3 linked regions of the Drosophila melanogaster genome follow. The protein of the gene in region 2 interacts with the protein of the main gene of each other region in a pairwise test. Each region holds a gene or a part of one and is shown on either strand. Other genes may lie near its edges.

Region 1 (3,809 bases), about 10 Mb from region 2:
TGTTAAAGGAAGTATTTTCTGGAAGACGCTCTGAGACGGTGTAATATTATATATTAACTAACTTTATCAAGAGTTAAAACCAATATGTAAGGTTTCGAGAATAGGACATCCAACGAAATTGCAACATCGAGACACTGGAGTTTGCCCGTATTATTTATTGACGCATATCAATAGGATTTTCGGTTAGCGCTAAATTTTAATTTATAAACACTATGTGTACACAATGTACCCCTAGACCAATTGAATATTTTCCTTGTTCTCCCCTCCGAGTTCGTCCTCGAGGAGTTGTTGATGCGATCGCTGAGCCAGCAGCTGACCGGATTCGTTAAAAACTCGCACATTTTTCTTGCAGTTGTAAAAGCTGCAATTACCTAGCAAGTTGTCCTCGTTGTAACTAAAAAATAAGGATATAAGTGGTAATTTTTGAACATGTAAAATACAACGTATTTTCATTTACCGCTGAAGTTCGCTGAATTTGTTTAGAACCAGGACCTTCTCTGTTCTTTGCTCTCCCAATACGAAACCATCGGCCAGGATTCCTAAAGCACAGTTTTCAAAACTGCACTTGCTACCCTGCAGATTAACCGAAGCGGATTTCTCCAGCAACTCCAGTCCAGTCTTGCATGTTTTAAACTGGACGCTTCCCAGCTCAGCACTAGATTTCGGTCGCATCGATACACCCACAGCAAAGTTTTCAATTAGGCAACTTTTGAGTTCCACGCTGGCGCCTGGCATGCAGACAATACCCTCTTGGGTGCTGGAGCTCCCATCGCCCAGCAAGCGACACCCTCGCATGGTCAACGTTCCGTTGCGCAGCAGGATCCCTCTACGGACATGACGACAATCCAAAACCAATTCCGACAAGGTATAGTCGCCATCAATGACCAGCAGGGTGCTATCCTCATCGCTCGAGCACACCACAGGCAGCAGGGAAAGATCTGCAGCAGGACTTAGTATGGCTTCCGGCTGAGTGAGTCCCCTTAGGCTGCCATTATCGTTGAGGTGCTCCAAGAATTTGATTGTATGCTCGCCGGGCGAAAGTAGAATATCATCGTTGCTCTGACAGATGCTCAGGACATCCTGCAACGTATTGGACAGCTGCACTTTCGATTCCGGCTTGACCAGCGTCTGGGCCAGCTTTAGCAGTTCCAGCTGCTGCTGCAGTTTTCCCGGCAAGGTTACCACATGGCTTATGGAATTCCGCTCTACCAAGAGATCCTCCGATTGTCTGGTTCTTCCTGAGGAGCAGCGAAGCCGCTTGAGGCTATTAGACTGTAGCTCGCTGTAGGCTCGCCTCATTTCAGGATTTTCAAGGATCTCGAACTCGCTCCTTATGATGGCCATGCGCAGGTGCAGGCACATCAGATCTGTAACCGGCAGACTGGACACATTGAGACAGCCATTGGCACTGCCCGCTTTAGATTGCTTTCTAGCGGGCTCTGCTACGCTGTCATTGAGTTCCACAGCCTCGTCGTCGCTCTCGGCATCACTGAGATCCAGTTCCAAGTAGTCCAGACGCTGCTGAATGTATTTGGCTTCGGCGAGCAGGGTGCGCATGTGCAGGGCCAACGGACGGGGCAGTCGGTTCTTGCTGAGATCGCACACTAGTTGGATACGAGCCTGCAGATGCTGTTGCACCCAGTCGCGATCATCGTCGTAGTCCTTGTCCCAAGGCATCCACACATGCGTATAGAAGAACCGCAAACGATCGATGCATTCAGCGGTGGTATCCACATTTAGAGCTGCGTTCTCCTGCTGCACAGTGGGCCACAGCTCCACTAGCGATACTTCATTACTCTCCGGCAGGTGGACATCGCTATCCTGCACGGCGGTCACCACAAATACCGCCTTGAGCTCGTCAAAGATCACCTGCTCCACGTAGCCGTAAACAATGGTGGGATAGCGTAGTTTCAGATCCTCGCAAATAACGCGTGGAATTTTCCAAATTGCCTGCCATCCTATATATCCCATATAGATACATATATGTATATATAGTTGCCTTTTGTGCACGAGTGTGTGTGTGTGTGTGTGTGGGTGGCTTACCTGCAGGCTCAATTTTTAATTCGACGTAGGATTTCCACTCGGATCGAACCTGGGATGCGGGCATCACGGCTCCCTCCCACGAAAGCACCGCCTCCGCTTCTTTTAGGCGCTCCAAGTACGATTTCTCAAAGGTAAACACTTCCATTTTCCCCTTTTGAATGAACGATGTGTTCGTTTATAAAAATTTTTGAAATGCGTGTGCAAGCAAAGGCTTCGATAACGATTGTTCGGGCGGCGTTATCGCGCAGTGCAACCATGTGTTGAGTTTGGCTAGATTTTTACTCGTGGCTATAATTTAAGCACCTATATAAATATATTTTAGATGTATTTTGTATGGTCTTGAATAAATTCACAATTTATTTAATCACGAACCAAAATATTTAGATTTGTTGACAAGCTCAGATATTTGAAATATGAGCTCGCAATCTAGCTATTTCGAGTTAGTCTCAGTATCAGCTACCTTCTCAACCAATTATCGCCAGCAGTGCTGCAAGTATCGATTACAATGCTCATTCAATGCGGTGTTACTCGCGTAAACACAAAATTTGTATACAAATTCAACGTTTTAATTGAAGTCTGAGCACTATGGCCTCAAATAGCATGCCAGAGGAGAATTTCGAGGGCGGTGATGTAAGGAAATATTATAAGCACCAGTTCCAATGTCTCCGATTCTAAGCTAATCACCATTTTTAGTTCAACTTTGATGACGACGCGGAGGATGACCAATTTGTGGCTACCAACTCAGGACGAAAGCGCCTATTCAGCAAGGAGCTGCGCTGCATGATGTTCGGATTCGGAGACGACAAAAATCCATACACGGAAACCGTAGATCTGCTGGAAGACCTGGTCATTGAGTATATAGCTGAGACCACTCACCGGGCAATGGAGATCGGTCGAACAGGCCGTGTTCAAGTCGAAGACATTATCTTCCTGGTGCGCAAAGATCCCCGAAAGTACGCTAGGGTGAAGGATCTTCTGACCATGAACGAGGAGTTGAAAAAGGCACGAAAGGCCTTCGATGAGATCAAGTATGTGGGTGAGTATTGCAAAAGTTCGACATTTCCTAAGAACTACATGTAATCAACCATTTAAACGAATAATTCCCAGGCACCGAAGGCAAGCTCAAATGACAGCGGTCAAAAAAAGCCACACCAAATCCAGGTATAAGCCAAACCTAGCAGTTAGCTCCAAGATGCGAATTATTTTTAATGTCTTTAATACTCTAAGCTAGCGCATAATAAACTAATCAAAATAGTCTTCAATGTCAATGTCGGGATTAAGAATATCATCGCCATAGGGCTCCAAATCAATGCCGTTCAGGATGAGGTTCTCGCAGGTCTCTGCGAGATCAGTGTTGCCGATTAGCATTGCTCCCCGTAGTCTGCCATTTTGAAGCACAAACTTGATGTATTCCTTATTTCTCGTGCAGCGCACCAGAATTTCGTAGTCCCTGCCCAAATCCTGACCATTAAAGCGTCCCAGCAGGACAACAGGATATCCGAAAAGTTTGGTTACGTGGCCAAAGAGCTCGAAGCAGAAATCCTGGTACACGCTTTCACCTTCACTGGCAGCCGCCATACTCCTGCCCGCCATGGAGCCCATTTGGCGAGCCTGAGTCCACAGGCGCATCTGGAACCAGTGCATTGCGGCTGGCCAGTTGGCCGTGCACACATCACCGGCCGCAAAGACATCCACCAGATTCGTACGCATCATTTCATCCACCGATATGCCACCATCGTCGGAAAATTGAAGTGGCGAATCACACG
Region 2 (5,141 bases):
AAGAAGGCATGCGGTTGCTGAACCAGTAAGTAATTAGAAACCAATCCGCGGAATACCTGGTGAACATCGTTCCTACAGATCGTACTACTCCCTGGACGAGTGCCTTCTGGTATGCCGCATGAAGAGCATGATCGATCATTGCGGCTGTGTATCTCCGCCCTTGACCGGCAGTTCCATGGATCTCGACTATTGTATGCTTCCCGATCTTCCATGCCTAATGAGATGGAAGAGCATTTGGTATGGCTACAGTGACTTCGCCTACCTGCAGAACAAGGAAGAGAACTTGGTCCAGAGGCAGTGCGAGCACTGTTTGCCCACCTGCAACGGAGTTAGCATGAGTATCACCACCAACGTGGCTCCTTTGAGACGGACTTATAATAGCAGTGGTTACTTTACCGGGTTGCTGTAAGTGATGTACCACAATTTCTTTGATAAATAATGAATATCGAATATTTTAGAAAGGGATTGACCAACGAGCGACCATTAGCCATTATAAAGCTTTTCTTTAAACTGCGCTTTGCCCAAGCCACAAAATCTCAAATGGTTAGCAGTTGGGTTGTTCTGCTAAGTGAGTACAGTAAATAACTAAGACGAGTAGTTAAAAAATATTAACTAACCCTTTAGATCGCTTTGGAGGCATTCTCTCGCTTATGTACGGTTTCAGCATAGTCAGTTACATAGAGATCCTGTACTATCTTACAGGCAAAGGATTTGTCTACATATACAGGTCATTCTTATTAGATAAGGAGCCTATCAATCACAACTATTCACTTTACTGGCGTGAGCTCCGTAGCAATCTGCCAAGACAAGAACAACTTCGAAAATAATCTCACTCCGCTTATATTCTGAGCATAATACATTGTATATATAATTCGGTTGGCGCATGCTCACAAAAAATCAACAATAGAATGAACTTATATCAAAAACCGTATATAATGCAAGCCATACATCGCCGAAAATCGGTCACTGTCCAGTTCCTCATCCCACTAGTAGTCGTCGCCACGGGAAACGACTTCTTTGCAGGTGGGTCGCAGCATAATTGTGTGTTCGTACTGAGCCGTGTAGCAGCCCTTAATGTCGCACAACGGCGGATAAGCCTCCACAATGCCCTTGTCGCACAGATCCTTGAGAGCCATCTGGTACTTCGTGGCACCGGCGCGGTCCAGCCAACGCTTGCAGAAGGCCAGGGTGCCGAAGTTTTTGTTGATGGTGCCAAGCAGCTGCTTGGATGACTGCAGGCGCAGCGGCACAAACGGCAGATCAAAGTTCTTCATGTAATGCGAGCAGTCCATATCGTCATGGACCAGACCGCGACCCGTCGAGCCGAACGTCTCAATGGCGTAGAATTCATCCTCCTCCATGCGAGTGGACTCTCCGCCTTTCACAATGGGCACCGTTTTTCCAGCATGAATGCCTGAGAATTTAATTTTAGACTTCATTAAGTGTTTGCACAAATCACAATAAATTTAAACAAAAAATATTAAGGAAAGCATAAGCATATTTAAAATATTTATAATAAATAGATTTTTGCTTACGGTACGGGCTGATGGAGTGTCCATTTAAGTTGCGAATCGCCTTGATGGGATATGTTTTGCCGTCCAACTCGATCTCGTACGACTCCATGACCTCCTGGATAGCGGCGCCGATGTCGCATAGGCGCACATCGATGCCCGCCTCTCTGATGCCCGTGTTGGTGGCCTCCTTGACGGCCTGCAGCAACTTGTCGTACTTGTTGTTGAAGGTCAGGGTGAAGGCGCAATCAATGATCCGCCCCTTGATATGGGTACCAAAATCAATCTTGCACACATCGTCGTACTGCAGTACAGTGGGGTCTCCGGCATTGGGCGTGTAGTGGGCGGCGCAATGGTTAAGAGAGCAACCAGTCGGGAAGGCCAAACCAGCCTCCAGACCATTTTCGCCGATCAGGCGCCGAGCAGTGTTCTCCAGCTCCTCGCAGATTTGGATCATGGTCATGCCCGGCTTAATGTAGCGCTGCATATACTGACGCGTCTGACGATGGGCCTCAGCCGCCTGGCGCAATTCCTGGTAGATGTCCGTGTTGATACGGTCCAGAGCACGCTTCTCCTCCGATGTGAATCGGTCCTTGGCCGTACGATCGTCGGGCATATCCTTGGGCGTGGGGTGCTCCACGATCTCGCCCTCGGGGAAGTTGCCGTCCGGATAAAGCTTAGCAATGGGTATGGTGGGCGGATCAGTCTGACCGCTTTTCTTGCCCTTGTTCCCCTTCTTCTTTGCCGGCTGAGCGGCCGGTGTTGCCGGTTTGGCATCTCCGTTTGTGGTCAGCTCCTCGTCGCCGCCTTCTCCGGAGGCTATTTTGGCTGCCGCTTCTGTGGGCAAGTGGTTAGTTCAGTGGGTGGTGGGTGGTTGAGGCGGAGAGGGTCGTGCAAATGCAATTACCACAGTGCACTGCTCGCATGAGGTCACTCACCTTGGCGGAGCTTCTTGTTGTTCGGCTTGGGCTTCTTTTGTTTCTTGACCTCCTCGCCGATCTCGGGCGTTGCCGCCTCCACATTCAGAGTCTCGGTTGCAGACATTTCGCAGTGCCTTGGTTGCTGGCTGAACGATGAAATAAACGAAAATGTAGCGCGCACTCTTGCCTGGCGATGGCGATGCGGAGAAAAGAACAAAAACACGAGGTGTCAGAGGCCAGTGCTGTAAAACGTGCTGTGGACTATCGGAACCAGTGAATGTTCAATTTGAAATTTACATAATTTGACTTTGAGCACTAATTTGAAGAAAAAAAAAACACTACAAAAATAAAAGTTTATCGAATATTGTATATTTATATATTTATTATTTATTAAAATCTCAAAGCCACCTTATAAACAACTATGATATACCTTTAATATATTTAATCCGATATTTTGAATTATATTCATCTATTATGTGGTGCGGAACTTTTGAGTGTTGCAAAAAGCGAATATGGTGCAACTCCATCCCTGGTTGATTTTGTTTATTATTCGCTGGTGCTTTTCAAATTTCATTTAAATGGACGAAATCCTCTTTCCCACGCAGCAAAAAAGCAACTCCCTAAGCGACGGCGACGATGTCGACCTGAAATTCTTCCAGTCGGCCTCCGGCGAGCGGAAGGACAGCGACACCTCGGATCCGGGAAACGATGCGGATCGTGATGGCAAGGATGCGGATGGGGACAACGACAACAAGAACACGGACGGAGATGGTGACTCTGGCGAGCCGGCGCACAAAAAGCTCAAGACGAAGAAGGAACTGGAGGAGGAGGAGCGCGAACGAATGCAGTAAGTTAGCTTAAAGCGATTCGAAGGGGTAATCCTATAAAAACTATTTTATTCCACTCCAGGGTTCTCGTTTCCAACTTTACGGAAGAACAGCTGGATCGCTACGAAATGTATCGTCGCTCTGCCTTTCCCAAGGCCGCCGTCAAGCGTCTAATGCAAACTATCACCGGCTGTTCCGTGTCCCAGAATGTTGTGATAGCCATGTCCGGCATTGCGAAGGTCTTCGTCGGCGAGGTTGTGGAGGAAGCCCTCGACGTGATGGAGGCCCAAGGTGAATCCGGTGCCCTGCAGCCCAAATTCATACGAGAGGCAGTGCGACGACTGAGGACCAAGGATCGGATGCCCATAGGCAGATACCAGCAGCCCTATTTCAGACTGAACTAGCGAGTCGAGACATTAAGAAATATAGTTTGTAAGGCTGTTAGTCAATATAAAAATACATAAACAAGTAAAAAGTAAATAAATATAAAGATTTTTTTAACAAATCCCATATAATTAATTTTCTCTATTACGAATAAATTCCGAAACGTGTTTTTATAAGGAAATTTATTTTTCTTAAATGTTTTTGACAGGTCCGTATGGCGTTAAACCTTCATCTACATCAATTTTATGTAGCTTATTTACGTTCAATGTTATTTAATTAATCCAGTCATTAAGTAGATATTATTATGTAGTTGTCATCCCATTTGTTGTACAGTAGAATACGCATCCGTTTACAAAAGAATCTTTATTGAGTGGGATCGCTAAATGAATGTGTTCCGAAGTTACTCCATTCGCCGGGCCTCGGCTTGCATGGTCTGCAGTACGATGTGTGGCACCAGGTGTGTGGAGGCGTAGTTCAGGGGCACCGTGGCCAATGGCGCTGAGCCGTCAGATGGGAAGTTGAGCTCCTGTGCCATGGGCATGTCCCTGTCGATGACATCCTGGGCGATCAAGGTCTTGGTCTCCTCGTACTCCATGCCCGCCTCCGGCTTAGCGCCCATCAAGAGTTTTCCGCGCTGCACGCCCATGTACTGGGTGGCCTTGGCATTCAAAGGCAACTGGCCGCAGGTATCGGCATGCACCTTGCGATGTGCCTGCAAGTTGGAGATGCAAGTGAAGCGCTTGCCGCAGTTATTGCACAGGAAACGCTTAATGCCCGTGTGCACGGTCATGTGGGTGAGCAGACTCTCCCTGTACGGATACTCCTTGGGACACAGGTGGCACTTGTACGGCTTGTAGTCCGTGTGGCGCGTCTTCAAGTGCGACTTGTATTGCGCCTTCACCTTGAATGTTTTGCCGCACTTATCGCACTGGTACGGAGTGTCTGCCTTGTGAAGGAGCATGTGCGTCTTGAGAATACTGCGGAAAGGAAGATGCGTTACTAACAGTCTTAGAATAAACATTCAAACACAAATAGTTATTACCCAGCGGTGGACAAATGTTTGCCGCAAACGCTGCAGCCGTAGAGCGGTAGACGGCCGCAGTCAGAACGAACGTGGTCAGAGAGCGATGTGCGTCCGGTGAACTTCTTGCCGCACTTGTCGCAGATGAGGTTGCGCTGCTGGCTGCGCGGCTCCTTCTTCGAGTGGAAATTGCGTTCGTGGTTCTTGAGGCTGTCGTGTCCGGTCATGTACTTGTCGCATTTTTCGCAGTAGAGCAGTTCCTTGTGCTGGGCCCTAGCATGCTCAGTGGCCTGTTCCTTGGTGGCGAAGAAGAGGTTGCAGTAGCATGGGCACTTGAAAGTCAGCTTGCCATCTTCGCCATGCACCTTCATGTGGGTGACCAAGCGCTTCTCCACCAAATAGATCTTGCTGCATATGGGACACTTAAAGACTTCCTCGTCCAGCTTAGCATGGACGTCCACGTCCTTAAAGATCTCTT
Region 3 (3,965 bases), 5.2 Mb from region 2:
CTGACGAACCAGCAAGCCGAGGCGAAACTCCGTGGCACCTTTTCGGCGGACAAAAATGAGCTGCTCTTCCAGGAATTCGGGATAAATTACAACAATCTGCCGGCAATGTACAGAAAGGGAACGATTCTGCTGAGAAAACGCGTGATATTGGGTGAGAAGAGCAGGCAGGCCGTGGTGCCGCTGCACGAGGATCTGATATCTTCGCAGTTCTGGAAGGAACACACCGAAATATTGGGAAAATATGTGCCAGGCACATACGACGCACCACAAACTTTTCCCCGATTGGTGGAGATGCAAATAAATGGCAAGGATGACAATGAGGCGGAGGAGCCACAAAATCTGGCTGGTACCAGCTGATATAATAACGAATAGTCTTGCATTTTTAAAGATTAAAGTTACGATACATCTAAGGAAGTCGTTTCGGAGATTGAGGATGCGGTGCCCAGGCTGCTGGAGTGAAGGACAAACGGATGATCCGTAATGAAGAGTAGCTAATAGTTGAAAGTTCAACTTATGGCATATATTTTAAGATTAAATCTACACTAAGCTCATAGAAAGACTATTTCCTACTAGTAGTCGTCGTCGTCATCGTCATCGTCATCCTCACTTGGCTTGCTGGCAACGGAGCCGTCTGCCAGCGGTGGTCGCTGCACCATTGCTGCCGCTTGCATGCTCATCCACTGCTGCTGCTCCTCGCGCGCCTGCTCCTCGCGTGCCTTGGCGAACAGCTCCTGCTGCTGGCGCAGCAGCTCCTCCTCCGGAATGCCCAGGTTCTCTAGGCGCGTGCTCTGGCGCCTTCGCTTGGCTGCCACCTCCTTGCAGTCGTGCAGAACGGCCTCCGCCTCTTGTTTGTAGTCGTGAAAACCCAAGCGTTCCAACGCCTCCAGGACGTGCTCTGCGTTTATCGTCTTCTTGTTGCGCATGTTGCACACCTCGTTGGCCTCCGAACTGATCAGATGAATGAACTCTGAGCAGCAGTTGAGTATCAGCTCGCGACTCTCGTTGGCCACCCGCACCGTGGGCACCAGCTCCTTGATGATCTTGTTGATGCTGGCCCGTGGCAGGGTCAGCTCGTCGTCCTCGGCGCTGGGCGGCAGTAGTTCTTCCTGCGGATTCGACATGGCGTCCTGGTTTCAAGGAACAAACAAACAAACAAACTTGGAAGCAGATGTTTTTCTCGGATTTACTAGTATAGTGTGCTAGAGTGGCCGTTTACTGCTAACAGAAAAATGTAATCGAAAAATTATTGTTTTTGTAAATAAATGAAATCATTAATTGATTGAAATGAACTATATAAAGCATATATAGCTAAAAATAAAATATATAAATGATGATATAAAATGATGTATATCATTTATGTATTCAACACAAATTTAATGGCTTAATAATCTTTGATTAATTTGATTTTGATGAATATTATAAATAATACAGCCTTTTTTTAAATGGCAGACTTTTCAAATAAAAGAATAATTTTTTTATAATTCCTACCATTATTTATATAAATAGTTTTTTTTTTTTTATTTGAAAAACCAAATGTACTGTTCTTTTTAAAACTCCACTCTTCGTTTAGTATATTTTTAAGTGTTTAGTATTTTTTTAAGTGTACTTAAGCGGCTAAGCAACGGTCACTTTGAGAAATAGAAAACAAAAAGTTGAGCTGTTTAAATTCCGGCTTATTATTAATATATTACCACAAAATGGGGGACTACGATTCCGATGATGAAAAATCACAGGTGGAGAAGCTGCGCCACGCCAAAGTGCCGCGCGGAATGTTCGTGAGCGGCTGGGACGACGATGCCGACGAACTGATCGAAGAGGACAAGAACCCACAAAGTAAGTAGAATACATTTTAGAGAAATAGTTTAATTAAACATCATCATAGGCAGCATTGAACGCATGATTCTGTGGGCGGTGAACGAGAACCGCATCAGCGAGGTGCGGGAAATCCTAAAACTGGACGCAGACACCGTGAACGCCAAGGATAACGACGGATACACGCCGCTGCACCGAGCTGCCTATAATAACTTTGTGGATATGGCCAAGTTGCTGCTGCAGTACCATGCCAATCCCAACGCCCGCACGGAGCTGGGATGGACGCCATTGCACTCCGCCTGCAAGTGGAACAATGCGGATTGCGCCCATTTGCTGCTGCAGTTTGGCGCCGATGTAAATGCGGAATCGGACGGCAAGCAGACGCCGCTTCACATAACCGCCACTGTGTCCAATTGTCGGAATACGGCCACGGTCCTTCTGCTGGACCGATACATCCAGCCGCGCAAGGAGAACAACTCCGAGGAACTGGCCTCGGTGATTGCCCGTCGTACTGGCATGAGTTTTCCCATTTTCGAGTCCGGCGAGGAAGCCTACGACTGCGAAACGGGACTGATAGATTAATCACTTAATAGTCAAACTATGCGCATACTTATAGAATAACTAATATAATATGTTTATTTCATAAATAATGTTTTCTGTCGATGGAATTGGTAGACACCACGATTTTCAGCTGGCTGGCGCTGGAGCCCTCACGAAATGCTCGTAGAATGACTTAGTGTAGTTGATCATCTCGTCCTGCATGGCGGCGGGCACAAAATACGGATTGCCCTGGCCACCCTCGATGGTTCCCCTCGCCGTGTAACGCATGTAGCTGGACACGGTAGTTTCTGGCGGCAGGACAGCCCCATCCTCAATTACACAGCAGTCTTTCAAAACACAGCGACGGCCCTGAAAGATGGTAAAAGTAAATGGATTACAAGGGTATAACAATAAGTAATAGCTTACTATGATGGCATTCTTGCCGATGTACACATAGGATCCAATGGTGGCCGCCGAGACGACTGCTCCTTCGCCAACGAAAACATGCTCACCGACGTGCATGGGAAAGAAGGCGATTCCCTTGCTGAATTGTTTGTACGGCGGTCGGATGACGGAGTTCTTGCCAATCACACAATATCTTCCCGTCCGGACATTGGCCAGATCGCCGCGAATGATGGCGCCGCTCTGTACGATCACCTTGCCGTTCAAAATAATGTTTTGGGAACCACAGAGCACCGTGTGGCGACTAACTTTGTTACCCGAAGCCTGTAAACAATCAGTTTTTTGGTCATGATGAGGTCATCTCTTAGTGCTTAAATGGAATCCCAAAGCGGAAGTCAGTGCGAATACTTGCCGTCTCTACGTATTCATCTTTGCTGTAGTAGGTATCCGGAATTTCCATGATTAATCAGCAGTTTTAAAAACTATTTTTAAGTAAAGTAAATAAAATAGTGAAACTGCACTTGCGAAAATATTTCGACCAGCTGATGTGTGTGGTCGCAGTGTATAGTTGGTAAAATACCAAATGTAACGCGTTAAGTCAAGACCTAAACCACATTAGCTTGGCGCCAAATTTGAATTCAAATTCGTTGCATTCCATTGATTTTCCATTGAAGAGCTTGGCATTACATCTAATTATTAATTAGACACACGCGAAGTTTTACAAATTACAAGCTGCCTTGGCGGGTGCATAGAAAACCCAGGTGTTTAACCCACTTTGACCCTGAACTTTTAGCCATAATTCTCAAATCACGATGCACATCTAGACAGCTGCTCTTCAGGCGCAAATCTGCTGGCAGAACGAAAAGAATGTGCATAATTGAACTCACACAGCTGTTGGCTGAAAGCGCAGTAAGCTCCGCCGCCTCCCATTGACGCACCGACCTTCCAAAACTTTTAACTTCCCGCTGTCCGACGCTCCAACGAAGTTCCAATTAATGCGCTCCTTAATAATCGCGAGACCCAGCCCATTGGCTTAACCTTCGCGGGGCACGCTCGAATGCCTCAAGCGGCGGCAGCTCTGGCAGCATTTTAATTTGTTTATGTTTTCATTACTATTTTCTTCGTTTGGCTCTCCACATTTTGCAGAAGTAAGCAAAGCTATGGATTTGCGGGCTTTTCCATATATGATTTAACTACGCTTAAAGAATGTC

What was found. Proteins that work in one complex are often made in the same cells at the same time.
Region 1: the proteins of Taf11 (region 2) and Taf13 interact in a two-hybrid assay, tested with the Drosophila melanogaster proteins (2 studies listed by BioGRID).
Region 3: the proteins of Taf11 (region 2) and NC2beta interact in binary tests that used the Drosophila melanogaster proteins (3 or more experiments, as listed by UniProt).

Annotation. Positions count from the first base shown.
Region 1 is NT_033779.5:20,092,588-20,096,396, reverse strand, and holds Taf13 (TBP-associated factor 13), read left to right. Parts: upstream 1-2,547; 5' UTR 2,548-2,628; coding exon 2,629-2,673; intron 2,674-2,736; coding exon 2,737-3,079; intron 3,080-3,150; coding exon 3,151-3,173; 3' UTR 3,174-3,285; downstream 3,286-3,809. Other genes in the region: nesd (nessun dorma), read right to left, coding at 232-394, 458-1,958, 2,044-2,188; Pyroxd1 (pyridine nucleotide-disulfide oxidoreductase domain 1), read right to left, coding at 3,286-3,809.
Region 2 is NT_033779.5:9,761,043-9,766,183, reverse strand, and holds Taf11 (TBP-associated factor 11), read left to right. Parts: upstream 1-2,921; 5' UTR 2,922-3,009; coding exon 3,010-3,278; intron 3,279-3,340; coding exon 3,341-3,662; 3' UTR 3,663-3,760; downstream 3,761-5,141. Other genes in the region: ppk18 (pickpocket 18), read left to right, coding at 1-25, 79-405, 459-568, 625-827; und (uninitiated), read right to left, coding at 987-1,414, 1,536-2,348, 2,450-2,555; zf30C (zinc finger protein 30C), read right to left, coding at 4,043-4,619, 4,685-5,141. UniProt on the Drosophila melanogaster protein: The TFIID basal transcription factor complex plays a major role in the initiation of RNA polymerase II (Pol II)-dependent transcription.
Region 3 is NT_033779.5:15,005,074-15,009,038, reverse strand, and holds NC2beta (negative cofactor 2beta), read right to left. Parts: upstream 1,227-3,965; 5' UTR 1,122-1,226; coding exon 570-1,121; 3' UTR 501-569; downstream 1-500. Other genes in the region: THG (tRNA-histidine guanylyltransferase), read left to right, coding at 1-357; Ankrd49, read left to right, coding at 1,698-1,833, 1,883-2,394; DCTN5-p25 (dynactin 5, p25 subunit), read right to left, coding at 2,500-2,721, 2,779-3,078, 3,167-3,214. UniProt on the Drosophila melanogaster protein: Bifunctional basic transcription factor. Activates transcription of DPE (Downstream Promoter Element) containing promoters while repressing transcription of promoters which contain TATA elements.